Linked DNA regions of Caenorhabditis elegans. The protein of the gene in region 2 interacts with the protein of the main gene of each other region in a pairwise test. Each region holds a gene or a part of one and is shown on either strand. Other genes may lie near its edges.

Region 1 (5,048 bases), on a different chromosome or scaffold from region 2:
AATTGGCAAATTGCAAAAAAATTTTAAATTCTCGCCAAATTGGCAAATTGCCAAAAAAAAGGAAATTCTTGCCAATTTGCCAAAAAAGGAAATTCTCGCCAAATTGGCAAATTGCAAAAAAAATTTAAATTCTCGCCAAATTGGCAAATTGCCAAAAAATTTGCCAATTTGGCAAGAGTTTTATATTTTGATCATATTACCAAATTGGCAAAAAATGTAGTTTTTGGCAAATTGGCAATAATTTCCTTTTTGGCATAGTGCCAATTTGGCAATTAGGTAAGCTTTTTTTTGCAATCTGCAAATTTGTCAAGAATTTTAATTTTCGCCATTTTGCCGGATTGGCGGAAATGTAATTTTTGGCAAGAATTTCTTTTTTCTGGCAAATTGGCAATTATTCATTATTTGAAATTGCCAATTTGGCTAGGATTTTCATTTTTTGGCAATCTGCCAATTTGGTGGAATCTAGAATTTTTGCCATATTACCAAATTGACGGACTTTCCATTTTTGGCATTGTGCCAAGTTGATAAGAATTTCCTTTTTTTTGCACTTTGCCAATTAGGCAAGAATTTGAATTTTTGGCAATTCGCCAATTTGGCGAGAATTTTAATTTTTGGCCATCTGCCAATTTGGCATGAGGTATAAATTTTGACAAGTTGCCAATTTGGGATAAGTTTTATTTTGGGAGTTGGGCAATTAGAGGAGAATTTCAATTTTTGGCAATTTTCTAATTTGGCAAAAAATTTTCAACAGCGTTTTATGGGCAAAAACAATTAAAACTGAATTTTTAGAAAGTTAAAATAATTCCAACAACAATAATTCTTGTTAATTAAATTTTTCGGTTGTGACAACGTCATCACAAAACATTCTAAACCAATTTAAAGATATTGAGTCCTAAGAAGCTAAAACTTCAAAAATAAATTATATTTTCAGCATAGTTACACCGAAAACACACCGAAAAGAAGAGAGAAAATGCGTTTATGGTCAGCGAGCGGCAAGAGACAAAAAACGAACGTAGAAGGAGAAGATGGGCAACACACAAAAATGTGACACATTTAGAGAGAGAGAGAGAGATAGAGAGAAAAACAAAAGACGCGAGCGGAATACACAAAAATGGGTGCAAAACGGGTGTATGAATAAATAATGGGCAAATATTGGAACAAAACGGAGGGTTTTGTCGGGAATAAAAGGAATATTTCAATAGCTCATAGTTAAAAATTTCAAGATTTTCACAAAAATGAATGTCAAACTTTAAAATTAGTATGGGACTTATTACTGTTGTGATTTTTGATGAGATGAGTTCAATTCTACCAAAAGGACACAATTTTCATTTTTGGTTTTCAGTACAGATAAATTATTATTTTTGAAACATTTCACTAAATCCGGGCCTTCATATTTCACTCAAAATTAACATTTTTCAGAATGTTTTTACAGAAACTTGTTTCAAATTTTGAGCTCTTTTTTAATTATATAACGAAATTCAGCTTTTTTTTGTTGCTATAATGCTATTTTTCTAGGTAGGGCACTTTTTTGCTCAATATGATTATAACCAATGTGCAAGAATTTCCAAAAATATTTAAAATGGTAGCATTTTGAAAAAAAATACTTTTTTGGGGCTTTTGAAATGTATATCGTAGAAACAGAGACGGTCATACATTTGTCTAAAAGATGAAAAAATCTGCTATTTTTTTAGGTAAGACACTTTTTTGCTACATGATAATAACCAATGTGCAAGAATTTCCAAAAATATTAAAAATGGTAGCATTTTGAAAAAAATACTTTTTTGGGTTTTTTGAAATGAATATCGTAGCTACAGAGACGGCCATACATTTTTCTAAAAGAACAAAAAATCTGCTATTTTTTTTAGGTAGGACACTTTTTTGCTAGATGAACATAACTACTATAAAATTTTTTTAATGGTGGTAGCATTTTGTTGCTCTTATGGTGCAAAACGACCAAACATTTAATTTTTTTAAAGTTTGTCCCCAATTTAATGAAAAGAATACGGTATTCTACCGGTCGATGCGACTCTTATCATTCTACTTCCAATTTCTCACTTGTTCTGTGCTGCTGTCTCTCCCCTCTCATATTTTTCATCTCTCTTGTCTATTTCTCTTTTCCATCTCCACTGCTTCCCCTCTTTCCATTTTCCCGCATTTTCATTGATTTTCCGTCCAATTCTAGAGTTTTTAAAGTTAAAAAGGTCCAGTAAAATGCCTGCCATCCTGGAAACCAACCCAATTGCTATTCGAGCTTGCATTCTCTACGAGGTCCGCCAAAAGCGGCCAATTTTCGAGTCTTTCAAGAATTTTTGCAATGCGTTTGGAAATGATTTTATGGAATATCGAGAATTTGAGCGCTGGTTTTATCGATTTTATCATGGAAACGAGGATTTGGATTATGATATGAGGTAAGTGTAAAGATAAGTTCTAAAATGTAATTTATTAGAAAGAAATTCAGCCGGGAACCAAAAACAGCATCGCTATCCGAGTTGCCAATTGAAATATTGTTCAAAATTGTGGAAAACTTGAATTTTCTGGACAGGTTAGTTTTAAAAAATGTTTTTCTTTGAAAATGTATGTTTTTTGGACGTGGGGATTTTTAAAAAAATATTCTTAAAATTAAGCAAAAAATATATGCATGATCAGAAGTGGGCGGCAATTACCGTTCGGCAATTTTTTTTTGTCGACAAATTTGGCAAATCGGCAAATTTCCGGTATGCCGATTTGTTACCAGAAATTTTCAATTCCGGCATCTTGCCGATTTTTCAGAAATTTTCAATTCCGGCAACTTGCCGATTTGCCGGAAATTCTCAATTCCGGCAATTTGTCGATTTGCCGGAAATTTTTAATTCCGCCAACTTGCCGATTTGCCGGAAATTTTCAATTCCGGCAACTTGCCGATTTGCCAGAAATTTTCATTTTCGGCAACTTGCCGATTTGCCAGAAATTTTCATTTTCGGCAACTTGCCGATTTGCCAGAAATTTTCAATTCCAGCAACTTGCCGATTTGCCGGAAATTCTGAATTCCGCCAACTTGCCGATTTGCCGGAAATTCTCAATTCCGACAATTTGTCGATTTGCCGGAAATTTTTAATTCCGGCATATATGAAAACTTTAAAATTAACAAAAAAATAAAAAGTTTTACTATGAAACTTATAAAGTAATTTCAATACTAGTATCTGAAAATTTAAATTAGGTCTTCCATAAGGTCAGGCAGGCAGGCGTTAAAACTCCTGCCGGCCTGACCTTAAGGTGACCCACGCCTGCCTCTCGCCTCAAAACGCGCCTTATGCTTCATTTCATAATTGGAAAATGGACAAATTAATAGAAATGACAAAATTTGAAGTTTGAAGATTCACATAAAATGTAGAAAATTTTCAGACAGGCGTGAGGCCCTGAAGCCGGGCCTGCCTTGAAAGCCCTACTTTAAATATTTCAAATAACACTTCCAAAAATTCAAAATTCCAGACTTCTCCTCCGCAACGTCTCGCCATGCTTCCGCAGCATCGCCGAGGATCACGTCAACGAGGTCACCAACATCTCAGTGACTTCTATTCCAAACCACGTACATGTATGCTTCTATCATGAAAGTGACTATACAGATATTATATGTAAACGTGTGGATGATGATTGTGTAATTACTAAAATGTCGCAATACGAGGATTCAAAGGATTGGAAAATTGAAGGAGTTTCTCATGTGACTGTTGCATTGAACTATCTGTCTAGGGTATTGAAGAGCCCGAAGTTGAAGCTGGAAAAGTTAAGACTGGACTTTTTGGAGCATAATAAAGAGGATACCCAGTGTATGGAAGAATTATTAACTGTGCTTGAAAATTCCGAACCCCATGTTCTGAACATTGAATTCGAAGGACTAAACTTCCACGAAACATCTAGTGTTCTCAAAAACCTGAAAAATGTTGAAGAGATACAACTATCAATGTACAGTATACAAGAGTTGTCTGGAATTGAGAAGCTCGTTGAGCTGGAGCAATGGAAGACAGCAAAGACACTTGATATATCGAGTCATGAAGACATTGAGATGGATATTAAAGATTTGCTGCACTTTCAATCAATTGATGTTCGTCTGAAATCGTTTTCAGTTCAGGATGCGGTTAAGGTTAAGGAGGTGAAATACTGGAAAATGTTTGACCCTAAATTAAATTTTATTCTGATTTTCAGACCCTCGAACTCCGCACCTCTGACTTCAGATCAGGAACGTTCAGAGTCCTTAACACAGATACTCGAAAAATCGGAAAAGTATTCAACCCAAAATATACAGACGCTGCTAACAACACATTCAACTTCAAGACTAAAAATTCCTCATTTGAAATAACTATGTGTTCCAAGGAAATTTATGTTAAACGGAAGCTATAAAAGGAGTCTAGCAGTCATAATTCCACGCTTATTTATATATCTTGTTGCCATAAATTGAGTTTAGATACTTTTCAGAAATAAAGTTTTATTAATGAAATATAATACTGTGCGCCCAACTTCCCCCTTAATTTTTCCGTTTTACCACATTCTGAAATTTTTTTGAAAAAATGGCTAATGCCATTCGATTCCAAATGTCAAAAACCCCGTGTCCACAATTTTTATGAAAATACATGGGCAACTACAGAAATTAGATCAAAAAATCATTTAAAAAAAAACCATAAATGTAATTGCAAAAGAAGAGTGTTTCAGATTCAAAATTGTGATAATAACATTATTTATAAGCATTCTATTCATATTTGAATGTTTTTGAAAAAATTGAAAAATTGAAGAAAAGAGAAGTTCGTCTCGATATAGTGCTATTTTTAGGATGTTTGAAAGTCCGCTGTGAGCTTGCTTCTAGAGTATCGCCGCTAAAAATTATCGAATGACTAGGTCTCATATGCAAGCCCAATTGGCCCTTTCTGACGAGCCCCTTGTTAGTTGAGCTTTTATGTTAATATTTCGTTTATTCGCACGTTGTTGTTAAATGAGTTGTATGAGTTGTTAAAGTTAACGTAAAACAAGGTTTCTTCGCTGAAAAGTGGCTGGTTGTTAAATAAAGTAGGTTTAAATTA
Region 2 (3,509 bases):
AATAATATTTCCAGAGTCAGATCATCTTGACCAAGTGGCCACATCTTTTGTGCCTCGCATTGTTTGAAAACGCCGAAAAAATCTTCATCGATGAAAAATTTGCGCAACTGGCTGAAAAATTCAATGTCCTCAAAGTTTCGGCGCAGGATTATTTCCTTTTGAAGGGAATCATGATTTTCACGGAAAGTCAGTTTAACAGTGAAGCTTCTTAGTTTTCTTCAATTCCGATTTTCAGCCAATAATGGTGCAGACCTCAAATTTGATCGTCAACTTGATATCTGTATCGGCCTTCTCAATCAGTTGCACTCGGAGTCTTCAAAGTCGAAATCCGGCAGACTTATCTTTCTTCTCGGCGAGCTTAAGTCCTATTCTACTAGACAGCTTGAATCTCTCCTAGATCTCAAAACTTGTGAGATTGTGATTAGTTTTCTTTAAATTGTGACTATTTCTCTGATGCTGTTATATGAACATATTGCCCCATTTTGCTCACTAGGCTTAGGTTTTGGCCTTGTCTTAGAGATTTTCATAAAATTTACAACTGCTTCATTTCAAAACAAATGTTTAAACCCAAATTTCTTTCCTAATTTTTCTCCAGATTCACCCATACAACCAATTTTTTCAAACAATTTTCTTCTCGATCAGTTAAAATAATTCCAAAAAGAGCAAAGAGTTAACTTCCAATTTTCAACCAAAACCTAATTTTTTTCACTTTTTTTTCAAGTCAAAAACGTAGTTGGCTGCAAATTTGACCGCCAAAGATACTTTTGTTGCAAATTGAGAATTCATGCACAAACTACAAACCACAAAATACAGGCGTTATACATTTATTCAAATTTTATTTTCTGTTGGATGCAATGCAAAGCGTACTTGACAAACAAAGTTGTTTTGTTTAAAATAATTTTTGATTTGTTTTAAGTGACATAAAAGAGGTATGTAAACCGAATCAGATAAATTTTAAGTTAATTATGTTTAACCGGGAGCTTAATCCTCGCACCAAGCGTTCCCCTTCTTCATGGCCTCCAGTTCCTCCTCGGAGAAGTTGTCAATTTTGAACAGGGTTCGGACTTGGCTTGGAGTTTTACCCTTCATCATGTTAGCCACATTCTGGGTGGTCACTTCCAAAAGCCCACGGATGTCGAGGTAGTTGGCTGCCTGGACAAAGGAAATTGGTTTTATTTTTCATTCTGGAAGAGAGATTAAAAGTTCTAAAGCTTAAATATTTACCAAGATGATTTCGAACAAAGTCCCCTGGTCGACTTTCATGAACTCGGCGTCCCATTCACTAATTTCTACCGTCTTTTTATTTCCTTTTTCTATCTTTTCGACTTTCTTTGGCTCATCGTCGGCGTGATGCTCGCACCAGGTGATAATCTTCTCAAGGATCGCAGAAGTCACTTTTGGAAGTGGAATCGTGTCTTCAGAAGTGAATCCAGATATGGTCTTGGATTGGCTGATCACTTTTCGTGAGACCTATAAAATTACATTTTATAATTTAGTTAACGGAAATTATAGTTTTTAAAAAAATACCGTGAAAGTTTTATCATCAGACGAGATGAGCTTGATTTGTTTCTGGCTGTCGGCGTCTGACATTTTTAAAATGTTCGATTTCTTTGTGTAATCTGGAAAATTTGAAATACAGTCAAGAGTCGAAGAGTCAACTCAAGAAGACAAAAAAATTCGAAAGTTACTTTCAGCAGAAAAGAGACGAAAATATTTTTTTCATTTTCAAATTGATAAGAACTGAAAAGTGAGCTGAATGCTTAATGCCTCCGTTGCTTTTTAAACTAAAAACCTTACATTGCTACGCTTAAATGTTGAAATTTGTGTTGATAGGAACAGTGTACACAACTTGAGAATGAGAGGTTGAGGAATTGAAAGAAGGGAGGAGAGATAGAGAGAAGTGAGGAAGTGTTAAAAAAAATTTCGTGCATATATGTTAACCGCTCAGTATCTGCCACCATCCAGAAATAAGACATCTGAAAAATACATAGAAATTATTGTATCAAAAAATTAAATTTCCAACCGTAAATGTAAAACCTATGATAGCTAAGCAATACGAAACTGAACATATTATACCATAAGGAATGAAATAGAAAGAAAGGAAGGAGCTTCTGAGAATAAAAATGTAAATACAACGTTTTTCTGGTGAGAGGTACCTAAAAAGAACCATATAACGATACAAAAATGTGCATGTAAAATCGGATATGTAGAAAATATGAAGCTTCCTCTCAGGCATAATGCAATTGTTCCGAAATTTGATTTCTGAAAAAAAAAGTAGCTGTACAGTGTCTAAAGTTAGGCTAAAATCAATTTTTAAAAATTTGCAGAGGGTCAAAAAATTGTAGAAATTTTCAGCGCACATGTTATGTACACTGCTCTTATAATATTCAGATTTTGAACTTTTTTAAAACATCCACTAGAGTTATTTTACTTTGGATTTTTTGTGTAACTATTTTTCAAGAAAACCAACATTTAAAAAATAATCACAATGAGTCAGCAAAATGTCGCATACTAAAGACTACCTTTTCGAAAATTCCATCCGTAATAAAATATGAAAATGCATATTTATGGTCCAAAGAAGACTGAAATAACAAATTTATAGGACTGCAAAGCCGAACTCCTTACCATTTGCACCAACAAGTCGATCAGGGAAGATAAAATATTGTAAATTGAGAAAAATTAATAAAATTCTATAATTACCCAGATGAGTTTTTCTGTCGTCATGAGCAATATAGATACCTAATAAATTGATGACAAAAGAGCACGAGCCACTTATTTTAGAAGCATAATGGTGAATCCAGTTAATTTGCATTTTCCAAAGCTTAAAGAACGAAAGAGAGTTATTCAAAATATTGTATATTATGTTTTTGTCATCAAATCGTGTGATCACAGAGCAGACGGTGTCCACGCATGAGAAACTATTTTTTGAGTAAAGTTTGTTTAGTTTGATCTGATGATCGTGTTTCTTTCACAACGTCATCAAGAATTCATTTTCTTGCAAAGGTGCTTTTAATTTAGTTTTTGCTATGAAGTAGTGCCACGAAAAATAAATTTCGCCATTTCTACTTATCAATAATGTTCATATTTTTTGTGTGCTATCTTGGAAATGAACTTCAATTTTATTTGTTCTGGCGTTGCTAATCTCTGTTTAGAGAAAATTGATTGACCCTCTTTTCACTCTTTTTTTTCCGGGTAATAAATTTGCGATTTTTTATTAATTTTAAAAATATGTACAATTTCAGTAAAAAATGATGGAACCTATTGAAGAGTGTGATGAAAATGTTGGAGCATTCCAATGGCAGCAAGCGTCTGAAACTTTGGCTGCTATTCGTCAGCGGTTTGGGTTTGCGCTGGAGACGACTGATCAGGAAGATATGCCGAGAGCAGTGAGGTTCACTTGGAACCTGAAGAAAACTTCAATGCTGGAACCGGATGAGATTTTGAAGTAAGGGGTAGGTTTTCGCGCATCTTGCCTATTCACATGCCTGTCTACGGATAATTTTTTTGAA

What was found.
Region 1: the proteins of skr-4 (region 2) and fbxa-167 interact in a two-hybrid assay, tested with the Caenorhabditis elegans proteins (one study listed by BioGRID).

Annotation. Positions count from the first base shown.
Region 1 is NC_003280.10:13,639,351-13,644,398, forward strand, and holds fbxa-167 (F-box domain-containing protein), read left to right. Parts: upstream 1-2,138; 5' UTR 2,139-2,211; coding exon 2,212-2,408; intron 2,409-2,458; coding exon 2,459-2,542; intron 2,543-3,468; coding exon 3,469-4,126; intron 4,127-4,179; coding exon 4,180-4,374; 3' UTR 4,375-4,473; downstream 4,474-5,048.
Region 2 is NC_003283.11:19,922,334-19,925,842, reverse strand, and holds skr-4 (Skp1-related protein), read right to left. Parts: upstream 1,620-3,509; 5' UTR 1,591-1,619; coding exon 1,528-1,590; intron 1,471-1,527; coding exon 1,225-1,470; intron 1,153-1,224; coding exon 982-1,152; 3' UTR 810-981; downstream 1-809. Other genes in the region: Y60A3A.16 (non-specific serine/threonine protein kinase), read left to right, coding at 3,249-3,445.